7 linked regions of the Ovis aries genome follow. The protein of the gene in region 3 interacts with the protein of the main gene of each other region in a biochemical or structural test. Links are inferred from orthologs where the notes say so. Each region holds a gene or a part of one and is shown on either strand. Other genes may lie near its edges.

The links.
Region 1: the proteins of PTPN11 (region 3) and KIT form a complex in vitro, tested with the Homo sapiens proteins (3 studies listed by BioGRID and IntAct, with this or other methods). The link is inferred for Ovis aries from reciprocal best matches to the Homo sapiens genes PTPN11 and KIT.
Region 2: the proteins of PTPN11 (region 3) and PECAM1 form a complex in vitro, tested with the Homo sapiens proteins (4 studies listed by BioGRID, with this or other methods). The link is inferred for Ovis aries from reciprocal best matches to the Homo sapiens genes PTPN11 and PECAM1.
Region 4: the proteins of PTPN11 (region 3) and FRS2 interact in a test that uses a peptide from one of them, tested with the Homo sapiens proteins (2 studies listed by BioGRID, with this or other methods). The link is inferred for Ovis aries from reciprocal best matches to the Homo sapiens genes PTPN11 and FRS2.
Region 5: the proteins of PTPN11 (region 3) and TXNIP are reported together in a solved structure, tested with the Homo sapiens proteins (2 studies listed by BioGRID, with this or other methods). The link is inferred for Ovis aries from reciprocal best matches to the Homo sapiens genes PTPN11 and TXNIP.
Region 6: of the proteins of PTPN11 (region 3) and CDC73, one has a biochemical effect on the other in vitro, tested with the Homo sapiens proteins (2 studies listed by BioGRID and IntAct). The link is inferred for Ovis aries from reciprocal best matches to the Homo sapiens genes PTPN11 and CDC73.
Region 7: of the proteins of PTPN11 (region 3) and SRC, one has a biochemical effect on the other in vitro, tested with the Homo sapiens proteins (2 studies listed by BioGRID and IntAct). The link is inferred for Ovis aries from reciprocal best matches to the Homo sapiens genes PTPN11 and SRC.

The regions. Positions count from the first base shown.
Region 1 is NC_056059.1:70,945,231-70,948,270, reverse strand, and holds the end of KIT (mast/stem cell growth factor receptor Kit), read right to left. Parts: intron 2,721-3,040; coding exon 2,592-2,720; 3' UTR 501-2,591; downstream 1-500. UniProt on the Homo sapiens protein: Tyrosine-protein kinase that acts as a cell-surface receptor for the cytokine KITLG/SCF and plays an essential role in the regulation of cell survival and proliferation, hematopoiesis, stem cell maintenance, gametogenesis, mast cell development, migration and function, and in melanogenesis.
Region 2 is NC_056064.1:48,348,768-48,352,842, forward strand, and holds the start of PECAM1 (platelet endothelial cell adhesion molecule), read right to left. Parts: upstream 2,801-4,075; 5' UTR 2,772-2,800; coding exon of another isoform or gene 2,684-2,771; 5' UTR 2,650-2,683; exon of another isoform or gene 2,571-2,649; intron 1-2,570. Other genes in the region: MILR1 (allergin-1), read left to right, coding at 2,684-2,771. UniProt on the Homo sapiens protein: Cell adhesion molecule which is required for leukocyte transendothelial migration (TEM) under most inflammatory conditions.
Region 3 is NC_056070.1:61,963,578-61,967,721, forward strand, and holds the start of PTPN11 (tyrosine-protein phosphatase non-receptor type 11), read right to left. Parts: upstream 2,801-4,144; 5' UTR 2,594-2,800; coding exon 2,580-2,593; intron 1-2,579. UniProt on the Homo sapiens protein: Acts downstream of various receptor and cytoplasmic protein tyrosine kinases to participate in the signal transduction from the cell surface to the nucleus. Positively regulates MAPK signal transduction pathway. Dephosphorylates GAB1, ARHGAP35 and EGFR.
Region 4 is NC_056056.1:150,335,485-150,339,700, forward strand, and holds the start of FRS2 (fibroblast growth factor receptor substrate 2), read right to left. Parts: upstream 2,801-4,216; 5' UTR 2,453-2,800; intron 1-2,452. UniProt on the Homo sapiens protein: Adapter protein that links activated FGR and NGF receptors to downstream signaling pathways.
Region 5 is NC_056054.1:99,309,471-99,313,488, forward strand, and holds the start of TXNIP (thioredoxin-interacting protein), read right to left. Parts: upstream 2,801-4,018; 5' UTR 2,535-2,800; coding exon 2,285-2,534; intron 1,794-2,284; coding exon 1,721-1,793; intron 1,608-1,720; coding exon 1,460-1,607; intron 1,252-1,459; coding exon 1,149-1,251; intron 1,016-1,148; coding exon 759-1,015; intron 655-758; coding exon 498-654; intron 387-497; coding exon 181-386; 3' UTR 104-180; coding exon of another isoform or gene 68-103; 3' UTR 1-67. UniProt on the Homo sapiens protein: May act as an oxidative stress mediator by inhibiting thioredoxin activity or by limiting its bioavailability.
Region 6 is NC_056065.1:11,241,798-11,245,297, forward strand, and holds part of CDC73 (parafibromin), read right to left. Parts: intron 2,856-3,500; coding exon 2,694-2,855; intron 180-2,693; coding exon 79-179; intron 1-78.
Region 7 is NC_056066.1:66,271,750-66,275,993, reverse strand, and holds the start of SRC (proto-oncogene tyrosine-protein kinase Src), read right to left. Parts: upstream 2,801-4,244; 5' UTR 2,449-2,800; intron 1-2,448. UniProt on the Homo sapiens protein: Non-receptor protein tyrosine kinase which is activated following engagement of many different classes of cellular receptors including immune response receptors, integrins and other adhesion receptors, receptor protein tyrosine kinases, G protein-coupled receptors as well as cytokine receptors.

The sequences.
Region 1 (3,040 bases), on a different chromosome or scaffold from region 3:
ATAATCATCTTAGCAATGTTTTCTATATTACTTTTCAATTTAAATGGGGATCTTGGGTTGTAAAAATAAAATGAGAAAACAGCACATACAAATTCTTAATAAATGTTTATTGAATCTTTAAGTATACAAATCCTAGTGATCTGATAGCCTTGCATGGATCTTACACGCACACATGTGCGTGTGCTCAGTCGCAAGGTCATGTCTGACTTTTTGTGACCCGTGGACTACAGACCACCAGGCTCCTCTGTCCACGGGATTTTTCAGGCAAGAATATTGGAGTGGGTTGCCATTTCCTTCTCCAGGGGATCTTCCTGACCCAGGGATCGAACCCAAGTCTCCTGCATTGGCAGGCGGGTTCTTTACCTATGAGCCATCTGGGAAACCTCACCTTACACATACTAGGTACAAACCATTCTAATGTCAGGGTGAATGCACTTTAACACTTTTAACACTTTCAAGTTTAATTTCACTGACTCTGAAATAATAAAATAAAAATTCCATTTGACTTTATATTTACACTTTTATTAGAATTCTTTAGAACTGTGAACAATTGGACAACATATCAGGAAAAAACACATAGAACATCAACATCCTTTAAACTTGCACCGCTTACATATTTACACATAAAGTTACTGTATATATAAAAAATATTTTCAAGGACTCATGGGCTTGGGAATATATTCAAAAGACATTATTGCTACATTTCAATATTTACAAAAAAAAAATGCCACAAAATAATTTCAAACATTAAGCTACTGCAAAGAAACATCAGATGTAAAAAAAAAAAATTATAAAAATATAAACTTTCAAGAATATCCAAGACAAAACTCTCAGTGAAGTGCCCCTGAAGTACCTAGACATCTACAATTAACAACCACTTTTCTTACTATAACCAAAGTCAATAGAAACGCAAAGGAAATTTTCAGACAAAGTGTGGCAAACAGCAAAAACGTCTTACATTAGCAACAAAACGCCCCAACCTGTTACCTTTGGAAAGGTGCGAGAGCATAGAACTCCAGTGCAAATGGTTACTTTCAGATAAATGGCCACAGTTCTCTAAATGAAAGCAGAGAGACCTAGGAGGGGAAAACCACGAGGGCAGCATACCTGAATCTTGCGAGACAACACACAAACCCTGCCATGTACCCATGGACTCTTATAATTGGGTAGAGGCAAAACAAAACAAAAAAACAGGTAACACTAAGAATAATATCCAGGCTACAGCCTAAAGGGTAGAATTGAAATGTTTCAGTAGGAGAGTAGCATTAATAAGGTCTAAGGAACAGGTACAGTATGTTGAGTGTAAGTAACAGAGTGCCTTAAGTGCAGGTGGATTGCAAATAAATATGGACTTAAGCACGCCTCTATGTAAGCTTTTGGTAAGCTTCTCTACACAGCAAGGTGAAGTGAAACAAAAGCTGGGCTGCTGCTGAAAGCCAGGCTACTTCTTGGGTGCTGAAGGACCCTCCTGGGCTCAAGGCAAGACTACTCCCACAATATTTTGTCTACAAGCATACATACACACGCACACATACACACTTATATAGATACTGGCCAGGTGTCCAGGACATGCCTGTGATGGAGGCTGAATCTAAAGTTTATTTTTGGCTACAGAAGAATCCAAACTAAGATAGCACTGGTTGTCACTCCTGCCAGAGTCATGCAATAAATCACTTTTGCAAAAGGCATCAAATCCACTGAACACGATGACATTCTGAAGCTGGTCGGCTTGTTCTGGACAATCTCTAGAGCAAGTTCATCGGCTACAAAAGGAGATTTTTGTTAAGACTGTGCTTGGCAATAATTTTTTTTTTAAAGCACTGTTTCCTTCAAACTTGTTCTGGCTCATCAGTTATTCCTATACACAGCAGACTCAAGCCAGAATTGTATTCAGAAACTACACCTTGTGGGTTCCCCCCCCTCAATATGTGAATGTGTACAATTTATAGATGAGTATATACAAAATGTGGGCTGGGAGGCCATCTCTCCAATTCAGCTACTATTAGTGAATTTGACTTAGAAACCAGGTCAGAAGCACAAAGGCTCATGCCCAGCAGTCTTTATTCAGGAGCAGAGAGCATTTTTCCATGGCCTATGTCTTACTCCCAGCATGAAATACTAGATTTCTTGAGCCCAGATATTCATAGGCTTCTGGCCTTTGAATAACATTCTATTTCCCACATCAAAGGATAAGGTTTCAGCTTCTAGCCTTGCTGCATCATCATACCATCATGGGTGATTATGAGGAATGAAGGTGACTACTGCTATGTACTCAAAACTATCAACTACATTTTTCGGATAGAAGTTGGAGAAACCTTGGGAAGGACTCAGTGTGTCCAGTCCATCCCACCCACCCTTTCTCCAAGTCTGAAGTTTCCTCGTTAGCAGGGGCTAGTGTGCTATTAGGAACATAGGCAGCTCGATGGTAGCTGATGACAAAAATCATCGGCCACTAAAGGGTGCTCATAAAGACAGGGTGTCCACTACCCTTGAGTAGGATTCGAGTCGAAGGAAAACAAAGGAACCATTGTAAAAACCAAAAGAGAGGGGGGCCGGGGTTGTTCAGGAGACCCCTGGATGCAGACTCTGCTTCAGACATCTTCGTGGACAAGCAGAGGCTGCGTGGAGGAGGCGCTGCTGCCCACAGAGTTGATGCGCACAGAATGGTCCACCGCGGGGTTCTCCCGGTGGGGGCTGCAGTTTGCTAAGTTGGAATAAATCTGAGGAAAATAAATCCACAGTCAATACGCCAGTCCCCCACAAGGAACAAAGGGGCACATGTGCAGCTTAGGAACTGCAAATAACTTAGGAAGATTCTTACAGCCAGGAGGTTGACAAGACCTTACAGCCAAGAACTGAACCACACTGACCAAGGATAAGCTTTGTTTTATCCCTCATTTTCCCATGGTCTGATTACATAAGAAGTGATAGTCCAAAATGTGCTTTTCTGCTGGGATGCATCTAGGAATGAGAACGACCTAACTTTTTTTAAAAGGTGCATAAATTTCTATAGCCAATTCCCATCTAATGGCTGATGTCA
Region 2 (4,075 bases), on a different chromosome or scaffold from region 3:
CTCTGTGCGACCCTACAGACGGCAGCCCACCAGGCTCCCCCATCCCTGGGATTCTCCAGGCAAGAATACCAGAGTGGGTTGCCATTTCCTTCTCCAATGCATGAAAGTGAAAAGTGAAAGTGAAGTCGCTCAGTCATGTCTGACTCCCAACGACCCCATGGACTGAAGCCCACCAGGCTCCTCCATCCATGGGGTTTTCCAGGCAAGAGTACTGGAGTGGGGTGCCATTGCCTTCTCCATAGAGGTTTCTTAAGGAGTAAATGAGATGATCAGTATAAAGCTCTTAGACAACAGAGAAGCCTAACTTTACTGTTTGTTTGACTATATTTATTTTTTTAATGAGTACAATCTTATCTATTTGGCTGTGTCAGGTCTTAGTTACAGCACTCAGCCTCTCTGACTGTGGCACTCGAGCTCAGAAGTTGCAACGCATCGGCTTAGTAGCCCCGTAGGATGTGGGATCTCAATTCCCAGATCAGAGATGGAAATCTCGTCCCCTGCATTGCAAGGCAGATTCTTAACCATTGGAACACCAGGGAAGTCCCTGGGTTATATTTATTTTTATCAAGTTTATTGATATGATGAATTTCGGTGGACCATGATAGTGCAGCTTCGTCATGATTTGGGCTCTATGCAACGTGTCAGGTCCATGGATGAACTTTTTTCTTTTTCCACTTGAGACTTTATATCTGATTTGTTATGTAATCTTTGATAAACTATGATCCTTTGAGGGGGGCCTCGATAAGGTACTCCCAGTAACGTTTACTAACAGCCCTAAGAAGAACTTCCTCCAGTTTCCTTTGCTGTCTTTGCTGCGGTCTGCAGGCTTCCTGCCCGAGCTGAAAGTTCCACATGCAGAAATGCCCCAGACATGTCAGCTTTTCTGAAAGAGCCCCCATCCTTCTGGGCATGACAGTTCTCAGGCCAGGATGGATAAGACACTGGTGGGAAACGTCAAAACCAAAACCTCTGATTCCCCTTAGCAGAAATTCTCGCATTGAGAGTTATGCCACCAGAGATTAAACTGGTGGGGTGCTTTTCCACACTCTCCTTTAGTGAGAGAAATTGCCACCAATATTGCCATATGAAGTCACTGAGTGCTGTCTTTGTTGGAAGGGTGGGTGCCTAAGAAGTAACTTTTACTGTTGGAAGGAAATAAAGTCCTTTTACAAACGGAGGACTAACTTTGCATTTTTCTTTTACAAACTGAGGACTAAGATGATTTGCTTCCAGACAGTGGCAGCAGATAGGGAGGAAGTGGGGGTGACGGCAGCCAAGCCCTGGGCTCTGTTCAGACCCCCAGTGGTGTGGGGCTAGGCACGACTGACCACAACAGGCTGGGAACCTGGGGAGCCCAAGCAAGGAGCCCCTGGAGCGAGTTAATACTGGTGATTGGGTGATGTTTCGGAAGAACCTGCACCCAGGCAGGGGTGTGTCTTCCCCATGGAGAGGGCACCTATCCACGAGAACGAAGAGACCGTCAGGGTCAACCCTTCAGGCAACAAAAGCCAGTAACCTGGGAATTCCCTGGCGGTCCAGTGGTTAGGACTCTGCACGTGCACTGCAGAGGATGCAGGTTCGTTCTCTGCTCAGGGAACTAAGATCCCACAAGTTGCGCAGCTTAGCCAAAAAAAAAAAAACAAAAAAACACACACACACAAATAAGAAAAGAAAAAAAGAACCAGTAACCCAAGGGGCCCAGGCCAATCACAGCCCCAACCACTCAGGAACCCCTCACCCCCTTCCCACTCTCCACTTCATGCTGATGACAACAGAACATGCATCCACTTGGCAGAGTCAGGAGAATTCTGGATTGGGTGCAAGTGAATCACAAGCCACTTCGGGGCTGTAATCTAGACACGCTGAGGCTGCTGGGGCCCTGGAGAAAATCCAGAGTCCCAGGTTTCATCCCCAGGAAGCCTGGAGCAGGGCCTAGAAGCCAGCGTTTAACACAGTCAGGCATTTCTGCTGCCACGTTTCTGTGTCTCTCTCTAGACAGTCAAGGTTGCTCCCCAAGACTAAAACAAACTTTCCACTAACTTCCTTCTGACCCAGGCTGAATCCAAAAGGAGATGATCACGTAGGTTTGCATAAAGACAGTGTTGTTGTTTAGTTGCTAAGTAATGTCCGATCCTTTTGTGACCCCCATGGACTATATAGCCTGCCAGGCTACTCTGTCCCTGGATTTTCCAGGCAAGAATACTGTAGTGGGTTGCCATTTCCTTCTCCAGGCGATCTTTCCCACCCAGAGATCAAACCCGGGTCTCCTGCATTGGCAGGTGGGTTCTTTACCGATGAGCCACCAGGGAAGCCCATAGTAGCAACATTTTTTCTTTTACTCACAGTCCACTTCCCTGCCAGCCTGAATTAGAAGTAACCTGCCATATCCCTCTCTGCCTACAAGTGCTCACAGAGGAGCACAGGGTCACACCAACCAGTCATCCCACATCAGGCTAGTCCACACAACTCCAATTTCTTTAAATTCGTCGAAAAAGAGGAAGTTCTCTCTGTGATTCGCTGGTGGGAGGCAGGGAGGCCATCAAGACTCCTTTGCCCTCCTCCCCGATTTCATTCAAGAGAATGTGGGGCTATTTAAACAAGCTGTTCTTTGGGGCATTTTTCTTTCTGTCACATCCGAGGCTCACTTACCATTTTGAAGCTTGAATCTCCAAACCAAAACGTCATGTGGAAAAATAGTTTTCTTGTGTTCCTTTTCTCTCTTTCAGTTCAAAAGGCTGCACTGGATTGTGAAAGACTGAGAAAACCAAATGGTAAGTTTCATTTACTTCTCTGTTGTATTAAAGCCACTTTCACCGAAACGGTGAGACCGTCAGCTTCAGTCATGCGCTGTCGCGAGCAGGGTTTTCTGTGCTTTTTGTTGAGCAGCCAAAGAGGAGAGTTTTTCCACTTTGTACTGTTTAAAATGAAGTGATATTAGGGAGGGAGTCAGAGAATCTTTCCTGAAACTAAGAAACAAAATGTTGAGATTGTTTTTTAAAAAAAAACAATGAAACGGTTCTTTCTTTTTCTGTTGTTTTTTAATTAGAAAATCAATACACTATCGTTGTAAAATAATTCAGGCGACACTAAAAACATATCCTGGGAGACAGTTTATCATCATAGAGCCAGGTTGTTGTGGTCCTAACCTTGTTTCTACCCTTTTCCACCTGGTAGTCTGGGCGCATGACGAAAACCACTTTAAGCTTAATTTCTATCCTCTGTGAAGCGGGGGAAATAAAGGCACCTCCCTGGGAGTGCTGTTGTGAAGACTGAGACAAGCCCTGTCCCTCAGCACAGAGCCGAGTGCATGGGGGAGCCATCAGTAAATGCCAGCCCAGGTCGTTGTTGTTATTATACTGTAAATGGTGAATGTTCTGCTATAAACAGATCCCCTCAGTCCCTCTCCCATCTCTGTGTCCAGGAGCAAACACTAGTAACAGTCCTTTTCGCTCCAATATCAAAGCAAACAAACTCTTCTGTGGCCTGTTCTTTTTAAAATTAACACGTCCCAGACATCTTTCTAAGAGGAAGTTGTAGGTTTCGCTCCCTTCTTCTCAACAGTTGCATGGCATTTCACAATAGGACTTAGTCATAATTCATCGAACCATCATTCCCGTATTGGTTGTTCCATTTTATTCCTTATAGAAACAATACTGCCGTAAACATCCTCTGTGGACACATGAGCGTGTGAGAGTTCACGTAGGATAAAATCCTAGAAGTGAAATGGCTGGGTCGAAGGCCATGTCCGTTTGAATTGTTACAGCTGATGCTAAGTTGCCCTCCTAACACACTGAACTGGTGCATGTTCACCAACGCTGATCACGGACATGGGTTGAGTGTGAGTTTCTCACCCTCTCTCTGGCAGTGGATACAATCAATTTTTTAAATTTGTGTCAGTCTCATGAGTACAGAAATAATATCTGAATGTTGTTTGAGTCCGCGGTTGCCTCATCACTCATAAAGCTGTGCTTCTTTCTCATGTTTGTTGACTATGGAAGCCCTAGCATGCCCATATAAAGGACATTTAGGGATGGCAATCTGGCTGGAAAGAGAGGTGAGGTCTTATCTTGAATCT
Region 3 (4,144 bases):
TAGGCTACAGTCCATGGGGTCGCAAAGAGTTGGACACGACTGAGCGACTTCACCTGACTTCAAACTCTGAAACCACCCAAATGTCTACCAACAACTGGATGGAAAAATGAAGGGTGGTACAGGCATACAGTGGAATATCACTGATCAATAAAAAGGAACTATTTACCATACACAACAACATAGATGAACCTCAATATAATTCTGCTGAGCATAAGAAGCCACACACAAAAGTCCACTTGTATAAAATCCTAGGAAATGCAAACTAACATATAGTGACAGAAAGCAGAAGAGTGTCTGCCTGGCAACAAGGAAGGGATTATAAAGGGTTCCGGGAGCCATCACAGGAGTGACGGATATATTCATTATCTTGATTGTATTGCTGGTTTCTTGAGTGTATAAGTGTGGAAACTTATCAAATTGTATGCTTAAATATATGGAATTTGTGGCATGTCACTTATACCTCAATAAAGCTGGTTTAAAAATAATAAAAGACCTATGATCTGAAAACTAATAATAAATAATCCCCAACTGTGTGCACTGTTGTTGTTGTTATTTAGTTGCTAAATCATCTCTGACTCTTTTGCAACTCCATGGACTGCAGACAGCCAGGCGCCTCTGTCCATAGGATTTCCCAGGCAAGAATACTGGACAGGGTTGCCATTTCCTTCTCCAAGGAATCTTCTCCACCCAGGGATCCAATCTGAGTCTTCTGCATTGGCAGGTGAATTCTTAACCACTGAGCCACCTGGGAAGTCGTGCATTACAATCATTTGTGTGTGTGTGTGTGTGTGCATTACAATCATAATCTGACTTCTTAGGGGGCACATATTTCTCTTCCAAAACAAGTATGGGAGAGCCGGAAGAGGAGAGGAGGAATTACTTCATTTCAAACTGTCATCTTTACCACTTGCTGCTTTGGCTCTTCTCACACTTCCTGGCTTCTAAATTAACAAGCTGGACAATGTAGGGTCTATTACTACCCAGCCCCTACCCCACCCCCAGTCCCCAGACTTTTTGTCTCCTAAAAGAAGCAGATCCTTACTTGTCTGGAAAAGCAGACACAAGGAACAAAAGGCTCAATGACTATTTGACAGATTAAAGAATAGAAAACTGTTTTATTTAAACGCTCTCTAAAGAATTAGAACATCTGAGGCTATACGCTGTTCTGCTGAAATGCAATTATATATTACCCAGATCTGTAAGCACTTGCCAGAAGACCTGTCCAAATCACTCACTGCTTGAGTTTTCAGTTTTCTCCTTTCACTCTTTTCATCCCATCAATGAATAATGTGCAGGTGTATTTCTGAGAAGACATTCCTAATGTTTTGAAGTTTCTCAGTCAATAACCCCAACAGCTTGAAACAGTTTTCCAAATGTCTAAGACAGTGTGAATTCTATACAGAATGACAATACAATAGCAGGATCATTATCTGAAAACAATCAATCATACTAATATTTAACAACAAAATTAAGGCTTACAAATGATTGGCAATAGTTATAATAGCAATTAACAGTGGGGTTCTGTCTCCACCACTTACTGATTGAGTGACCTTAGGCAAGAGTCGGACACGACTGAGCGACCAACACTAGCACTAGAACTACTAGGCAAGTTGCTTAACTTCTGAAATTCATTTACTCTCTTTAGAGCGGGATAACAGTACCTACCTGATAGGGTTATAAGGATTAAATGTGTTTGGCATACGGTAAGAGCTAAATAAATGTTAGCAATTAGTAGTATAGTCTACTATACTACTTTCCAAGGATCTCATTAACTCACTCATCTTCCTTCTGACTTCTAGGTTCAAACCCTGTCATTTACCAGTATGTTTCTTCTGAGCCTCAGTTTCCACATCCGTAAAACGGAGGTAATTAATGTTACCTGACTTTTAAGGTTGTGGTGAAGGATTAAAATAACTAGAGATACGATCCCTTCCCTCCCACCTCCCAAAGCGAAGATCGCAGAGGAAGGAAATACTTCTAATAGCTGCAGATATAGTCAGTTTTTCCATTTCTGGCACGTGAGGGGTGGGGGGGGGGGGGAGAAGAAGATGCAAAGAGGCATACAAAGTGGTCAAGGACCCTGAGTAAAGCCCCCAAATGCGCGCAAAACGCAGAGTGACCCAAAAAGGCTCGACTATCGGCCTGGCCTCGCGCAACTCTCTCCTCTCCCCTCCCGCGTCCCGGGCCGAGGAGCCTCCCCTAAGTGAGCGGGGTTATTTCGGAATCACCATGAGGCAATTCTCATGAGGCAATGGGTCAGGAATGCGGCGCGCCGAGCCGAGCCGCTAGCGTCCGCGGTTCCCCGGGCGGCTCTACCTGTCCCCGTCCTGACGGGCATCCCCAGGGCTGCGGGAGCCGGAACTCCGTGGAGGCAGGAAATGAATGAGGACCCGAGGGGTTGGGGGCGCGCTAGGGCCGGGCCCCGGGGCCCTGGAGGGCTTAGGGGGCTGGAACGGAGCCTGCCCCGCGACCCCGGGCAGGAGTCCGAAGCCCAGCCGAGCCGCCCCCTCCCGGGCGGAGCTGACTGAAAGCGGCGGGGGCCGGGCCGAGGCCCGGGCTAGGCCCTCGGGGCTCCTCACCTCCGCGATGTCATGTTCCTCCCGCCCTCCGGCTCCGCGACGAACCGGCTCCTTACTCAGGCTCCACTGGGCCCGGTCACATCGGGCTGGCCCGAGGGAGGCCCGCTCCGGACCGGACGTGGGGGGGGCGGGCAGAGCCAGCCGGCCGCGCGCAGACCCCCCTCAAGGCCTGAGGAGCCCGGAGACTGTGCAGCCGCCCCCCAAGCCCGGTTCGCTCCTCCTCCTCCTCCTCCTCCTCCCCCGCCCTTCCCCGCCGGCTCCTCCGTGACGTCACTCCCACGCGACGCCCGCCGCTACTTCCTGCTTCCATTCTGCGCTGAGGCTGGTCATGGCAGTTCAGTGGATCTGTGGAGCCTCTGCCGCGCTGTTCCCAAAGGACCTTCTCATTCTCCTTTAGATCCTGGCGTTAAACCGTGCGTTGTGTGCTCAAAGTTACACGCAGTCGCGTGAATTGATTCTAGCTGCTCCCACAGCGTCAATTTCCATCCCTGCGCTGTGAAGTCGAATTTCATTCATTTCATTCCTCAAATAGTTGTTCCACTTACTGCTGTGTAACCTTAGGAAAGAGGTTGGGATCGCAAAGAGTCGGACACGACTGAGCGACTGAACTGAACCTTAGGAAAGTTGATTTCTCTGAGCCTCCATCCTTGATTTCTGTAAAAAGAATAGTAATTGTATTTTCTTCTTAGGATTATGAGGACGATTAAATATGTAAAATGTTTAGAACTAGGCCTGGTCTGTTTAATAAGTTCTCGGTAAAAAATCCGCCTGCAGTGCAGGAGACCCTGGTTCGATACTTGGGTCGGGAAGATCCCCTGAAGAAGGGAAAGGCTACCCACTCCAGTATTCTGGCCAGGAGAATGCCAAGAATTGTATAGTCCATGGGGTTGCAAAGAGTCGGACACGACTGAGCGACTTTTACTCACTCTCTCCTGTAGTTATTGGGGCTTCCCTGGTGGCTCAGATGGTAAAGAATCTGCCTGCAATGCAGGAAATCCCAGTTCAATCCCTAGGTCGGGAGTATCCCTTGGAGAAGGGAATAGCTACCCAATCCAGTATTCTTGCCAGTAGAATTCCATAGAGAAGCCTGTGATGCTATCGTCCATGGAGTCACAAAGAGTTGGACACAACTGAGCAACTAACACTTTGACTTTTTCACTTTTTTTGTGTGTCATTATTAGCTCTATTATCATTAGAAGGAAACGTGAGCGTTTTCTGTCTGCTAGGCACTGATTTTCCACTATAGAGATAAAAGTGAACTGAAAAGACAAAAATCCCCGATATTCTCATGGGAGGAGCTACAGTAATCGATAATAAATAAAACAATTGAGATAATACCCCCAATACTCATCTCCCTTCTTTTCTCCATTGCCCTTTATATTACTTTAAATGGGGGTATTTAGGGAAAGCTTCACTAAGGATGATATTTGAGTCAAGGAGCAGTCTAGTAGTGAAGTTGCTCAGTTGTGTCTGACTCTTTGCCACCCATGGACTGTAGCCTACCAGGCTCCTCCACCCATGGAATTTTCCAGGCAAGAGTACTGGAGTGGGTTGCCGTTTCCTTC
Region 4 (4,216 bases), on a different chromosome or scaffold from region 3:
TCAATTTGGCTGCAAAGTATAGTAGTTAAGGGCATGAACTCTGAAACCAGTCTGTGTGGGTCAAGTCCTAGCATTAGTAGCAGCCGTATGGGCCTAGGAAACTTATTTAACCTCTTTGTGCTTTTATTTTCTGGACTATAAAATAGTAATACAGCCTGAAATTGTTGTAAGGATAAAATCTGTTGAAATATGTAAATCACTTAGTACAATATCAGATACATAGGAAGTATAATTGACATACATATATGTGTGTGTGTAATACACATAAAATATATCTATAAATATATGTATAATATAAATATATATTCTTAAATGTGTATATGTACATATACATGTATGTATAATAATTTATAATTTAGAAGCACTTTGTGACTTGGCAAGGTGACAGAAATAATCCTAGATTGTCTTTCAGTGTAACTTTTGCATTGGAGTCAAGAATGAACCAGCTGTTTGGTAAAAAGACTCTAACAAAACAATAAGGAGAAAAATCAGTGACTCTGTGTGTATACTTCAAGAACACATTTTTGCCTTCTAGCAGGACTGGGCCAATACCATGAAACATGCTCTCCAGCAGACATTCTGAAAGGGAGACCTCAGGGAACTGGGGATTTTATGTGACATCACCAAGGAGTGAAGGAGGAGAAATAGTGGCAAAATTGGGGACAAATTTTTAATTTGCACTCCCATCCCCCAAAATGAATATTAAATCTTCGTGATCATCATATTCATTCTTGAGTACTGTAGGCTTAGTCTTTATTGCCATCCATATGTTGAAGCCCTAGGCTCCCATGTGATTATACTTGGAGATAGGGCTTTTAGGAGATAATTAAGGTTAAATGAGGTCATAGGTTGGGGTCCTAATCTAACAGAATTGGTGGTCTTATAAGAAGAGGGCTTCCCAGGTGGCTCAGTGGTAAAGAATCCACCTGCCAATGCAGGAAACGTTCCATCTCTGGGTTGGGAAGATTCTCCAGGGAAGATCCCCTGGAGAAGGAAATGACAACCCACTCCAGTATTCTTGTCTGAGAAATGCCATGGACAGAGGAGCCTAGTGGGGTCACATGGGGTTCATGGGGTCACAAAGAGTCAGACACGACTTAGTAACTAAAAAACAGCAGCATAATGAGAGGGATAGAGGGGCTTCCCTGCTGGCTCAGTGGTAAAGAATCTGCCTGCCAATGCAGGGGACACAGGTTTGATCCCTGATAGGGGAGAATCCTACATGCCACAGAGCAGCTAAGGGTGTGCACAGCGACTAAGCCTTGCTCTAGAGCCTTTGCTCTGCAACAAGAGAGGCCACCTCAGTGAGAATCCCGGGCACCACAACTAGGGGGTAGCCCTCACTTACCACAACTAGAAAAAAGCCTGTGCAGCAACGAAGACCCAGCACAGCCAAAGATAAATAAATAAAATTTTAAAAAGAAAAAAAGAAGGATAGAACTCTCTCTCTCTTTCTGTGTGCACCCACCAAAGAAAGTCTTTGTGAGAACAGAGCAAAGGAGGTGGTCATGTGCAAGCCAGGAAGAGGGCCCTCATTAGGAATTTAATGGGTCCACACCTTGATCTTGGCTTTCCCAGCCTCCAGAATTGTGAGAGATAAATTTTTGATGTTGAGATCATAGTCTATAGCTTTTTGTCATGGCAGCCTGAGCAGACTAAGACAGGTTGAAACAGGAAGCATGCCCGAATGGTCTCTGATGATGGAGGTTTAGAGCTGGGACTCATAGAGCAGCATGAGGAGCCCCCTGTCACCGGGGCAGCCATTCCTGGTCACAGAGCTTCCCAGACAGGGATGATCTATAGGCTCATGGAGAAATAAAACAAAGGCTCAGCATGGATTGGATTGTTGCCTACTGTTCATTTAGTATTTACGTTTCCTGGTTGAGTCCATTTGTCACTGTCCAATACACAGTGACACCAAGCTCTTTTTGGCCTCCTTCTGGCTAGCCCATTCCCATGGGACTTTGGCTCCAACCAAGTGTAGCCGGAGTAGTAGGGTTTGTTTCACCTGGCAAGAAATAGAACAGCTTTATGCAGAACAAACTGCAAATGGCCTATTTCTCAGAAAGGGGCTGTGGGCTTAAAAGGCACTTACGAGATTCAAGGGTTTCTTCTTAGTGTAGAGCCTGGACCTTTCTATAACAGAGCTTGAACATCCCATCCTATAATACTTGTACCAGTTTTCTGGGACTGCTGTAAAAAGCAGCATAAACTGAGTGGCTTTAAACCAACATGAATTTATTCTCGACATGAATCAGCCATAGGTATACATATGTCCCCTCCCTCTTGAACTTCCCTCCCATCTCCCTCCCCATCCCACCCCTCTAGGTTGATACAGACCCCTGTTTGAGTTCCCTCATGTCGAGGTTTGACAGAGAACAACAGAATTCTGTAAAGCAATTATCCTTCAATTAAAAAACAAATAAATTAGAAAAAACATTTATTCTCTCACCGTTCTGGAGGCCAGAAGTCTGAAATCAAGGTATCAGCAGGACTATACTCCCTTTGAAGGATCTCAGGAAGAATTTCTGTTTCTTCAAACTTTTGGTGATCTCAGGCATTCCTTGGCCTGTGGCAGCGTAACTCTAGCCTCTGCCCGCCGTCATTTCAACATGGATTTCTCTGTGTATATTTCTTGTGTCCTATTGTATTCTCATGAAAACCCCAGTCACCACTATTATCTAGCCCAAAAACCTCATCTTAATTAATTATATCTTCAAAGATCCTATTTCCGTATAAGGACACGTTCTGAAGTTCTGGGTAGGTATGATGTTTTTTGGAGGGGGAAGCTATTAAATCCACTGTGTTGCTTTAGCTAAGATTCTTTAGTTGCAAATTACAGAAAAATGCTTGAGCCATAATATGTTAAAAAAAAAAAAGGATTTTATCTGTAGGACACAGGAGTGTTTTACAGAAGCAATAAAATAGTCAGGCCTCAGCAGGAAGATCCCAGAGCTGTGCAGCTATCAGAAGTATTAACCTGTGCCTTCTCATCACAGTTTCTCCCTTCCTATCAGCCTTATTCTCTCTCTAGACAAGAGAAAGACTCTCTACTTCTCCATACTCTCAGCAGGCAGCCTATGGCCAACCTAGTACTCCAGAGTTGATATTTCTGTTCAGATGACCATTTCTAATTGGATAATCTTGGTCCCAATTCTAAATTCTCAGAAGAGAGAATCTAATGGGTCCATCTAGGATTCGGTGTTCAATCCTGATCCAATCAGTTGTAGGTAGTGGGTGGAATGATGCGACAAGTCCAACATGAGGAGTGGAATCATCCTGCTGGATGGTTGGGTGATGCTTTCGAACTGTGGTGCTGGAGAAGACTCTCGAGAGTCCCTTGGACAGCAAGGAAAGCAAACCAGTCAATCGTAATGGAAATCAGTCCTGAATATTCATTGGAAGGACTGAGGCTGAACTGAAGCTCCAATACTTTGGCCACCTGATGTGAAGAGCCGACTCATTGGAAAAGACCCTGAAATGCTGGGAAAGATTGAGGGCAGGAGAAGAAGGGGGCAAGAGAGGGCGAGATAGTTGGATGGCACCATCGACTGAATGGACATGAGTTTGAGCAAACTCCAAGAGATAGTGAAGGACAGGGAAGTCTGGCATGTTGCAGTCCATGGGGTTACAAAGAGTTGGATGTGACTGAGTGATTGAACAATGACAAAGAGAAAGAAACGTCTTTGTGAGCTGGTAGAAAGCACAGAAAAAGTCTGTACTTATCTTATGCTTCATAGCATTTAACAGCATACAAAGTGTTTTCATGTATACTCAAATCCGATTTGTGCAAGTTCATCTGAAATAGGCATAACTGGCATTCTGCCCACTTTACAGATGTAGAAGCTGACACAGACAGATGAGATGACTAGAGCATAGAGATGGTCAGTGTCAAAGACCAGACACAACATTATGTTGTCTGACTCCTGGCCTGACTCTTCATCTCACCACACAAGACAAATATGTAACTGACTTTGTAGTTTTTATTGCAACCAAATACCACTTATGCATAGTTATTATCCAAGTTTACAAATGTAGTTTCAAAAGTAAAAATTTAATAGTCTGATGTTCACAGTCATTCTACCCTTGCTTTGTTCATCCAAAGTTTTCCCGACTTCTCATTTTCCTTCTTCTTTTTCCAGTCCACAGTCTCTTCACAATTCTAACCCCCTCCACATTATTATTCTCTGAAAGGTTTCACTAGGATTTATATACT
Region 5 (4,018 bases), on a different chromosome or scaffold from region 3:
TCAAAGAGTCCAGGAAGAGAGATGAAAAGAAACAGGTAGGTATAACTGCTTCTTTTCTTCCACATGCTCACTGCACATTGTTGTTCAGGATGCAGGGATCAACCTGGGAGGAAGAAAAGAAAGAGTATTTTAGTTTGGGTAAGAAAAAACACAACAATCCAGTCTGGCAATCCCAAGAAATTAACTTCCTATAAAAGGCTTAGGACAAATGTAGTGGTAAATGACAATTCTCACCTCAGAGTAAGTAGGTGGTGGCATGAACCTGAACTCAGGAGCATACATAAAAATAGGGCTGTCTTGAGAACCATCTGTGTCATCTAGCAGAGGAGTAGTGGGGCTCTCCAACCGGTGATCTTCAGCAATGCTATCCATATAGCAAGGAGGAGCTAGAGAGAGAAAGCATGGAGATAAGAAGCCCAGCCAAGAAAAGCCTAACCACAATTTTACAAACCCACCCAGGCCAGAGGGAAAAAAATGAGATCAGGTGTCTGGCTCACCTTCTGGGGTATCTGGGATGTTCAGGTCTACCCAACTCATCTCGGAGCTGGTTTGGCTGGCCATGCTGGACGTCCGGCTGCTGAGGCCTGACCTGCTGCCAATAACCAGGGGCAGGTCAAGAATGACTTTCTTGGAGCCAGGGACGCTAACGTAGATCTAGAAAGGAAGACATCAGTTTGTTAGGCTAGAAATCTGGAGAAACACCACTATCGTTTAGACCAATGAACAATTTCTTTCTCCAACCCCATCCACCCACTCACCAGTAAGGAGTATTCAACTCGCAGGATATTGCAGCCCAAGATAGAAGGCCTGATCTTCTGCACTCGAAGGCTCTTGCCACGCCATGATGCACAGGTTCCGGAGATAATATGATTGCCTCTGACTGATGATAACTTCTGCGTCAGCACCTTGGTCTGGCCATTGGCAAGATAAGTGTGGCGGGCCACAATGGCAGCTTTGGGGATCACAATGCGGGAACACGTATTCTCAAAATCAGCATGGATGTTAATCTCATCACCTGGCAATGAGAAAGATGAAAACTGATGCTCAGTGCAATCCATGACTTTTAATCTGTCCCTGCCTCCTGCCCTTACTCCCAAACCCACAGTTCCTGTTTTAAGGGTCTCTCATTTTCTGCACTAGATTTTTACCTTCACAGAATCCTTTTCTGTCAATTCGTGCAGAGACAGACACCCGCCCATCAGGTATGAACATGCAGGAAACTTTCTTCTCCTTTTTAGCTGACACAGGTTCCTATATAGAATGAAGTGGAAAAAGACGTTTTGAGAATTTCTAGAGATCCTTTCTCTGCTTCTCTTTCCACTGCTTAAAGTAGGTAGTTTTCTCTCCCACCTTGATGACTTAAGGACTTGATTCCCTGACGGGCTTCACTTTAATGCCCTAAAAACCTAACTACTTATCTCTGAAACCCAGAAGAAGAGACTTTTAAAATGAATCTCACCAGTAAATCAGGAGTATTGACATCCACTAGATCCATCACTTCAAAGTTTTTCTTTGTCTCTTGAGTTGGCTGGCTGGGACGATCAAGAAAAGCCTTCACCCAATAGTCCACACACCCATATTTTCCTTTGAAAGATGTTCCCAGAGGCCTTTATCAAGAAAAAGGAAACAATTTTAAAATGCTCTCCAAGAAGAGTAACTGATCAAAAGAGGGAAAGATTTTTACAGACAGATAAGATCACAGATGCATTTAGTTACCTACCCCTGAGGAAGCTCAAAGCCGAACTTGTATTCATATTTGTTTCCAGGTCTCATGATCACCATCTCATTCTCACCTGAAGGAAGAGAAAAAGGAGAAGCTTCTAGGTTTCTTGTTATACTTAAAATGCCTCTATGCAATAAGGAATTCTTGGGCAGCGTGCAAGAGTAATGCAGAACCCCTTATGTTCTTAAATGAGATTCTGATGCATTCGCTGAGCAAAAAGTTGCAAAGCCCTGCAGTGCTGAAAGACTCAACCTATCATCATCTCAAACAAGAAGCAAGCAAAGAACAAGCAATTTATTAAGACATAAAAACCTTTCAATAGCTATGTCAACATCCCTCAGAATCACCCACAGAACACAGCACCCTGAGAAGTTGCACAAATCACCCTTTTTTGGGGGTGGGGGTAGGGGTTAGCAAGTTAAAGCTAAAAAAGATAAAGAAGCCACACAAAATTCAAACCCCACAACCCGAGCAATTTAGGATCTACAGTGTGGGCTTTATCCGTATCAATTCTCTTCTTGAATCCGCTCTCACCCTCCAGCAAACAGTTGGGTCACTTACCAGCTGGTTGGTCGTCCAGGAGAAGCGTGTCTTCGTAGCGTAAGTAGTCCAACGTCTGCTTGCACTGCTGGGATCCCTGCATCCACAGGACTTTGGCCACTCCGCAAGCCAGGATCCTGACAGCTTTGACTCGAGTGACTTCACACACTTCCACTATCACCCGGCCAGCCACCTTCTCCCCACTGCCGTACACCTTTTCGGGGTCGTTAAAAACTACCTCGAAAGACTTGATCTTCTTGAACATCACCATGTTGGGCTGGGTCTGCTTAAGAGTTAAAAATGAGGACAAAACAAAACTCTCAATCAAAGGACCTTTTGCTGTAAGTTAAAACTTTTTCACTTTTCAGTTCTCTACTGAATTTTCGAAAACACGTCCACCCAAAAATGTAAGCCGCGAGTTGTATCAAGAGATTGCAAAAGAAAAATAAGCTCTTTCTTTCTAACAGCTGGAGGACAGCTCCGGATCTCGGCGGGAAGGCTTAACGCGTTCCACCTCAGAAAACGAAACGATAGTTTGCAACTGAGAGCCGGAAACTGGTTTATATAGTAGCCCGGCAGGCAGGTCCACGCGAACGCTGGCCTGGAGGCTCGTGCTCCCCTCGTGCACAGCTCTCCCATTGGCTGCCCGCTCCTTGTTTACCAGGAGCCCTACCAATCAGCGAGGTCGCAGCAGCGCGTGGACACAGTGTGCTCCTGGCGGGGAAAACGGTTGTTGTGCATCGCTGCGGGGCTGGGAGGAGGGGGCGGAGGGGCTATGGGGCGGCTTCCCGTGTGCCCAAGGAAGGAATGCTTCACTGACCCCAAAATCTATCCGAGGCCAGTGGTCTTCGAAGGGCGGGTGTGGATGCTTTTGGAGTGGTAGCTATTATTTTGAGGTAAAAGGAAAATGTGCTTATGATGGAATTCCATGCCTAACCTCAGCCAATGTAATTAATTTAGAGGTGACTGTTTATTCCCGGCTCACAAATCGCAAGTCGTGTGAAAAACAATCCCAGAGCTCCAAGAATACTTGAGGATGGGGCGGAGGACAGGGAGTGCAGTCGTTACTGTTGAGGAAGATCCGCTTTGTCCTTCTCTTGCCCCGCATCTCTCAAAAATCAACAAACAACCCCCTGCTCCTCCCCGCTCCCCCCATAAAAAATCCCGGCTGTGTGGGAAGGAAAAGAGAACTTGTCACAAATTTTTAACCTCTCTTCAGCGGTCACAGCAAAGTGAATATATGGGACTGATTAGCCATCCCCCACTCCCTTTCTAGCCCCCTGGGCTGGAGGCTGGGGGCTCCGGTCCGTGTGCCTCTGCCCCTGCGTCCTCCACTCGGTTCTCTCTGTTCTCTGGACTGGTACAGTACGGGCGTATCCACATCCTGCCACTTATCCCGTCATCTCTTCAGTCCCTGATCTGCAGAGTTAGGGAACACTTTATTTATGGTCTCTCAGTTACCTCATTACCTCTTCGTTAAAGTGTGTTCTTTGGGCTCTGAGTATCTCACTCCCTGCTTCTCCAGGAAAGTAATTAAAAAAAAAAAAAAAAAAAGGCTTCACTCTAGTCATCTTTTTCCTGAGTTATTTTAACTGTCTCGTCTTCCTCCCCCTTCCAACTTACTAAATCAGAGGTACACCTCTAAATCTGCTGCCCACACTCCTCACAGCCTTCAAATTAGTTAAAAGCAGGAAAGTTGTCAATCGTCAGAGGGAAAGTGTCAGGGAAAGATGGCCGTATTTCTGTTTGAGGGAA
Region 6 (3,500 bases), on a different chromosome or scaffold from region 3:
TAGATGGCTCTTTCTCTTAAATAATAGAGCAAAAACATTTCTACATTAGATAGGCAGTAAAAATAAAGAGAATCTTACTTTTAGCAAATATGTCAACTGGTGATCCATCAGGCAAAAGCCAAGGCCAACCTTTGAACTGCCACGCAGGACCCTGCACAAAAACTGCTACAACCCGGTCCCTGTTAGTGGAGAAGAGGAAGGGGAGAGCGGAAACTGAGTGGCTCAGGCATTCTCAGTTACTACAACCCTTAGGGAAAGAGTCTCACCATCACTCCTGCAGTGGAGTCTCCTGTCCACACGTCTGTGAGGGGAAACACAGTGCTGCACGTCCACCATTTTCTTTATGTTACAGCAATAGAGTGTGTTAACGACTGCTATACTCCCCATATATTGTTTTTAACACCTAAGTCATTTAAACATAATTACATGCACAGTCCTTACATGAGATCCTTTCAGCCTTTTATCTCTGCCCGATCTGTTAATTAGTGGGCCTATTTTTCTAATGTAATAGGGAACAATAGTGTATCTGTTAATTGAAAAAGTTAGTTTTAAAATCATTTACAATTCAAACACATCTTAAATGTTTAATTAAAAATATCATAAATTACAGTATTTCACTATTTTGAATTCACTACTCACTAAAGCTCCAACACCTTAGTTTGAGTTCTGATTATCTGGAAAATAACCTGAGTATAGAAACCACCTAAACTTTTTCAATTGTTTTACAACTATTTCACTCACTCTGAATTCTCTACTTGGTGTGGTGTGTGCGCGCGCACTAAAGCAACTAGTTTTTCCCAGACATTTAACTTCCTTTTCCGAAAAAAGCACAAATCTCTTTCTGGGGCCTTACATTTCTTTACAAAATATTAATTAACTTGAGAAATTACAATAAAAACAACTACCATAAACAGTTTAAGCCTACAACTAAAGAAATGGAAACAAAATAGTAACATTAACAATAATAACCAACATTGTAAGATTTACTACAAGCATTCACTATGTGCCAGTGCTGGTCTACACAGCCTACTCACGTCTATACATTTAAACTTCAAAATAATCCTGTGAGGTAACCTATTACCCCTATTTTATAGAACAGCAGAGTATGTTGGAGACCAGGAGGCAGGAAGCGGGGAGGGAGCAAGAGCGTGGAGAAAAGGAGGGTGTGAACAGAGAGAGGGGAGAACCAATGACTGGTCATGCTACCGTCCTATATGGGGACTGATAAATCATGACAACAGCCAACTCACTGTTATACTGGAAAACAGTTTTGACCTCATGACTCCCTTAAAGGGCCCTGGGAATGCCCAGAGGACCACAGACCATACTGTGATAATCACTGCATTAGATTACGCATCCAAGAGAGTATTAAGCCAAGGTTACCTTCAAGTTAAAGACCTACAACAACATAGTTACTGTGAAAAGCCACAGCTTAAAATTCTTAACAGCTCAAAAGCTCTTATGGTTAAAATTAAATCTTAAATTAAAAATTTCATAGGATATATGCTCCACACTACCTAAACCATCTTTGGGAATGGAGCACACTATTAAATAGCCTCTCAATTTTATGATGTAACTTGCAGCACACACTAGTTGAAGGACAAAGGTGCCTGCCAAACAAAAGGGAATTTGTCAGACAGAGGTCACCCAGATCCTTCTGTGTCTCACAGGGTCAGCAGGGAAGCAGGATAATAAAAATACGACTCCCGGTGAATTCCCCTTTAGGACAATTAACGAGAAGAGAAGAAGAAAGGTAAGGAAAATCCTTCCCTAGGCTGACACTGATGGCCAGGGCCCAAGCTAATATACAAAGGCAGCGCAATGCACAGTGCCGGCACTTGCGCCCTGCATGACTGCGCCCTGCAAATCTGTGCAAATGTACACATGGCACGCCTTTCCACTTCCTGCAAAGTTTAGACAACCTGAAATGCTCGTCTTACACTGCATATGTAACTCAAAGTGTCTCTGCTAGGTACTAGGACAGAATTCCAATACGACAGCCCTTGAGTCTTCACCAAAGTCTTTAACATACTAGTATTCTCACTGGCTTGATTTTCTAATATCTGAAGACTAATGAGTACGTCAAAGGTAAATTTCGGGTAATGAGTCAATGTGTTACACTCTCTGTATCAGAGAAATGCACACTCGGACTATGTATTTTTATTCTGGCTTAGATTAATGAAATAATTTAAGGTAATTCATGTATCTGAATATATAGGCACTTTATATTATAAATAGCTCAATATTTTATTAAAGGATATTTTAATTCAATAAAAGAGCTGAACTGGGATGATGAGGTTATTATTTTCATTAAATTATCCCCTCACAATGAAAGTAACAATGCTTTCACTTACCATTTCTTTACCAAGGAAAATTAGAATTCTCCAAACCAAAAATCTAAAATATAGGCTCTCTAAAACATTAGTCTACTTGAAAGTTTTGTTCCAAAAGCTGATCCAGAATAAGTGGACAAGTGGGAAAACTTTTCACTGTTTTCCACAAGTTTGTGCTTCTTGTTATAGACGTCCAAATTATATTTACTTAATACTAGAACGTTAATATTATTGAGGACTAAATCAGATACTAACACAGGTTTTAAGGATAGAATTCAGTATCTCGAATTCATGATAAAATTTGCTATCTGTTAATTACACAACAAATGAAGGACTATGCAAAAGCGTCAGTTAACTCACCAGTCCTGAGGCATGAGCTTAAGGGGCTGGTCGACTACTCTGTAAGGAACTGTGACACTAATGGCAGTGCCCCCCGGTTGCATCTGGTCTTTTCTTCTCTGAATTAGAGTTTCATTTTCTCGTTGGCAGCCTTGCTTCTTCTTTTCATCTGATGGAACAAATCTTTTAAAAAACAGGAGACAAAATGATTCCACAACAATCTTAAATGAGAAAAGAAACTGTACTTTGAAATTACTTTTAAAATGACAGTTTTAAACCAAAAACATTATTTTAAAAATAAACTCAATCTGCATATACAGAATATGGGTCTTTCCTTTGCACGCCAAACAGAAGTAAAGCTCACTTACGTGAGAAGTCGCTGTGTGTGAATCTCACATTCAGACGCAATCTGCGTGTGTTAGTGTGACACTTAGCATTCCCAATGGTTCCATACACAACCACACTAATCCTTGATTTCTCAAATGCTAAGAAAAGGGAAATTTTACTATAAATCAAAGATCACTTGAAATGGAGCTGATGCGGCTAGATAAAGATAGGTGATTCAATCCATCAAGGAGTGTCACCAAATACGCCTTTCCACAAGGTAACCACCACACCCACCAAGATACAGAACACGTGCAACAGACCAGAGAAATTTCCTCCTGCACCCTTCAGTAATCTCTACACTTCTTCCCCAACAGGTAACCACACAACTCTGCTTTCCATCATCACAGGTGACTTCTAGGAATTCTATATATGGAATCACACAAGAATGTACTCTTCCATGCCTGGCTCCTTTCATTCAATCTAACGTTTCTGACATTTATC
Region 7 (4,244 bases), on a different chromosome or scaffold from region 3:
TCCCAGAGCCTCCCCCAGGGGCCCTGGGACATGTCTGAGCTGAAAGGAAGAAAAGAGTACTGTGTCCCCTTCTTTGTTGAGGAAAATGTTGCTCCCCGCCCCCCGCCCCTGTCACCACCTCCTGGAAGCCTCCCAAGGTCTCCTACAGCTCCCACTGCTAACCCATCACACACTGCTCAGCTCAAGATCAAAGCCCGTAGAACATCATAGGTACTCAACACAGGGCCATGGATGCTTGTATCTCGGCAGGTTTGGGAAAATGGGGTCAGTTGAGGTTCAGGGAATGGGTGGTTGGTCACAGGCCACTGAGCCGTCTCCTTCCTGGCTCCTGGGGTTTGAGGGAGCCAGACAACCTCCCCCCACCCACCACCCCACCACTCCCAGGTCAGGTCACAATCAGGGTAGAAGCCAAAGCAGGAACTGGCTATGCACTGGGGATACTTCACGCCTGGGAAGAGGCTAGGGGAGAGGAGGAGAAAGCTGGGAGGCCTTCCTGGAAGAGGTGGGCCTTAAACGAAGCCTTAAAGAGCAAAAGCAGACAAGCAGCTCTTAGAGGAGAGGGCACTCCCGGCAGGGAAACCCTCAGGAGCAAAGGCCCTGGAGTCACACAGGAGGGCCTAGGCAGGCAGTCAGCTGAGAGGTGACACACTGTAAATCATTTCCTTGGGTGGAAAGACCACATCACCACAGCACACCACCTCACCCAAAGGGCCTCGTGGCATCCACACAATCACTCATCCGAGTCTCTTCCAACACTGTCGTGTGCCTGGTCCCATACTGAGAAACACCCATTCCTCCATCACGGGAAGGGAACAAGGACAGCCCGACCGGGCACTCTGAGCTCTAGGCTCTCATTCCAGCTTCAAACTATGTGGCTCGGTCAAGTCACTTCCGCTCTCAGAGCCTCAGTTTCTTCCCCAGCAAAAAGGGGATACACAAAAGTCCCTACCTCCTAGGAGGTACTCGATAGATGTTAGCAGCTATCATTCTCACAAGCCCATTTTATACTGAACAAACCTGAGGCCAGAAGGAGAAGCGAGTTGTCTCAAGTGCTGGGTGGCAAGACTGCACTGAGGCTGGTTCCTCCTCAAGGGGTTAGGAGGTGGCTTTGGGGACACCGATCCACCCTCTTCTGGAATAAGCCCCACAAGAGCCAGCCATCTCATCTCATGCCCATCTTTTTCAGGCCATTCATCCAGTGCCATGCTCATTTATTGAACACCTACTACATGCCAAGGCCCTACCTGCAGAAGTGCCTACAGGTTTCCCCTGGGGATCCCCACCGCACACAAGCAGACTCAGAGGGGCGGTCCTTTGGCCCAGGTAGCCCAGTGTGACCAGAAGCCGAGGTCTTGTCTCTCCAGCCAGAAAGCCAAGATGAGGGTCAGCAACAGCGTCAGCCTGCTCCATTCTTAAAATCAAGTCTGATCTCAGCTGACTGAAGCCAGGCCTGGAGTCACCCCAGGTGATCCAGAGACCACTGCCCCAACTGGACAGAGTCCCTGAAGCCGGGGACACCTCACCCAGGGCCCCACAGGCTCTGCCGACTCTCAAGTCCGCCTGAAGGCCCCAGAGGTTGAACTGCTACCCCACAGGTGAGCCCCTTCTGTTCACCCAGTCCTTCCACCAGCCCAGTAGGCTCAGCCAGGCCCACAGCTGGACCTGACAAGGGCCCCCAGCTCAGAGAGGGCAGGCAGTTGCTCAAGGAAGCACAGCAGGGCAGGAAAGCGGAGCCCCCACTGGGACTCAAACCCACCACCAACCCCAGCCCAGGCAGGCAGATGGACCCGGCCTGGGGGCCAAATCTTAAACTTTTGCCAACTTCTGAGCAGACCGGAGGTAGGGCCTGCCCAGAGAGGAGGCTGGGGGCTGTGGGCAGCTGGGACCAACCACAGTTTGGCCCAGTCCTTTCCAGGCCGGCAGCACCAGGCCCTACCCAAGGCCCCACGAGGACAAGGAGATCCTGGTGTTCTGGCCCGGCACCCCCTGCCCGGCGCCCCCCCAGGCCCACCCTGCCGGCCCTTCTCCACCTCCCATCCCGGGCTGGGGGCGCCAGGCTGGGTAGCGGCGGCCAGAGGCGGCGCCGACTGGTTCAGATTTCAGATTTGGCCTAGACCTGGCCTGGGGGCTCGGGCCCGGCTCGCTGCTCTCAGGGGGCCCGCAGAGGGAGCATGAGCGGGAGGGGGGGGTCCTCGCGAGGACAAGACCCCTACGCCCCCCACCAAACCCCTCCCCCCCCCCCGCGGCATCACAACAAAAGGCCGCGCCAGACAAGTCCCGGTGCGCCCGCCCTGCGCCCCGGGATCGCCGCTTGGCTCGAGGGGTGAGGTTTGGAGGGGGGCAGGAGCCCCCGCGGCCCAGCGATCGGACGCCAGGGTGGTCCCCGGGCGGGGGGCTCCCTCACGCGGGCCGGGAGCCGGGGCCGGCGGAGGGGCGGGGGGCGCTCACCTGGACCGGCAGGCAGACGGACGCACCGGGCAGACAGACGCACTGGAGGACGGACCGCCGGACGGCCAGGGGTTCGGGCACACGGCGGCCTGGCCGCTCCGGCTCCCGGGCCGGAATGGATTCCGGGCCAGGAGAGACAGATCGAGAGAGAAAGGGAGGCGGAGGAGGAGGAGGAGGCGGCGGCCCGGGGAGGGGAAGAGGAGGGAGGGAGCGCGCGAGCAGGGAGGAGGGGCCCGGCAGGCCGCCGGGAGGGGGAGGAAGAAGGAAGCGTGCCGGGACGGGTCCCCGCCGGTGACCTGGGAGAGTCCCGCGCGCGGCCTCCCCACGCCCGGGGTCCCGGCGGCCAGGGAATGGAAGGGCGGGGGCTCCGGCCACGGAAGCCCCGCCCCCTACCCCGCCCTGAGAGTGCTCCCTTCCCATGGGGCACCCACCCATCAGCTCTCAAGCCAAAATACCCTCCCCAACTCCTCCCAACCCACCCACCCAACTGACCCCAAGTCTACCTCTCATGAAATTATTACTGATAATCAGTAACAGCAGCACTGATGGAGAACTCATTCCTTACCCGGTGCCATGCTAAGCTGTTCAGGTCAACTTTAGGATCTATTCCTACCAACCAAGTGGGCTGGGCAGGCCAATGATCACCCCCATTTTACAGATGAAGAAACTGAGGCACAGAGAAGGGACTCACCTGACAAAAGCCAGGTCTTGGACCCTGGCCTTAACCTGAATTTCCCAAACTGGGGACTGAGACAGGCAGGACAGTGTGGTAAGGAGCAGCATTTTTATCTTAATAGCTATGCATTCATTTTAAAGTGCATCAGAAGAAAAAAAAAAAGTAACTAAGAAGCCAATAAGTTCCAGATAAGGAACTTATAAAGGGCTTCCAGTAAGCCCCTTGCTGCTGCTGCTGCTAGGTTGCTTCAGTCGTGTCCGACTCTGTGCGACCCCACAGACGGCAGCCCACCAGGCTCCACCACCATCACTGGGACTCTCCAGGCGAGAACACTGGAGTGGGTTGCCATTTCCTTCTCCAATGCATGAAAGGGAAAAGTGAAAGTGAAGTCACTCAGTTGTGTCCGACTCTTAGCGACCCCTTGGGCTGCAGCCTACCAGGCTCCTCCGCCCATGGGATTTTCCAGGCAAGAGTACTGGAGTGGGGTGCCATTGCCTTCTCTGAGTAAGCCCCTTAGGAGGGGCCAAAGCAGGTATTCAGTGGCAATTATAGTCAGTGGTAAAGAACCTGCCTGCCAGGGCAGGAGACGTGGGTTCGATCCCTGGCTCGGGAAGATCCCCTAGAGAAGGGAATGGCAACCCACTCCAGTATTCTTGCCTGGAAAATTCCACGAACAGAGGAGCCTGGTGGCAGGTTTCAGTTCATGGGATTGCAAAGAGTCAAACGCAACTGAGCACATGTGCTAGTCCTGCCTTTGGCTTTTCACAGGTCCTCCTGGGATTACTGCACAGGGGAAGGTGGGCCTGAATCCAGCTTTAAATGCCACCATCTGCCTCTGTTTTCCTTCTCTGAAAGTTTTCCCATTTCACAGATGGGAAAGTAAAGCCCAGTCCAGGTCAAATGGTAGAAGCCTGGACTTCTCCTGAGAGGAGCAGGGAGGGAAACTCAAGACTGTGGGAGGCAAGGGCCTCAGGGTACAGTACAGTACCTGGGAGACCAGGAATGAGCAAGGCCTTAAGCTGGACTGATCTGGGTTCAAATCTAGACTGGTTGCCCAGCTGCTGTACCTTCTACGAGTCCATCACCTTCCCCAGCCCAGGTCCCCTCGCCTATGAAACGG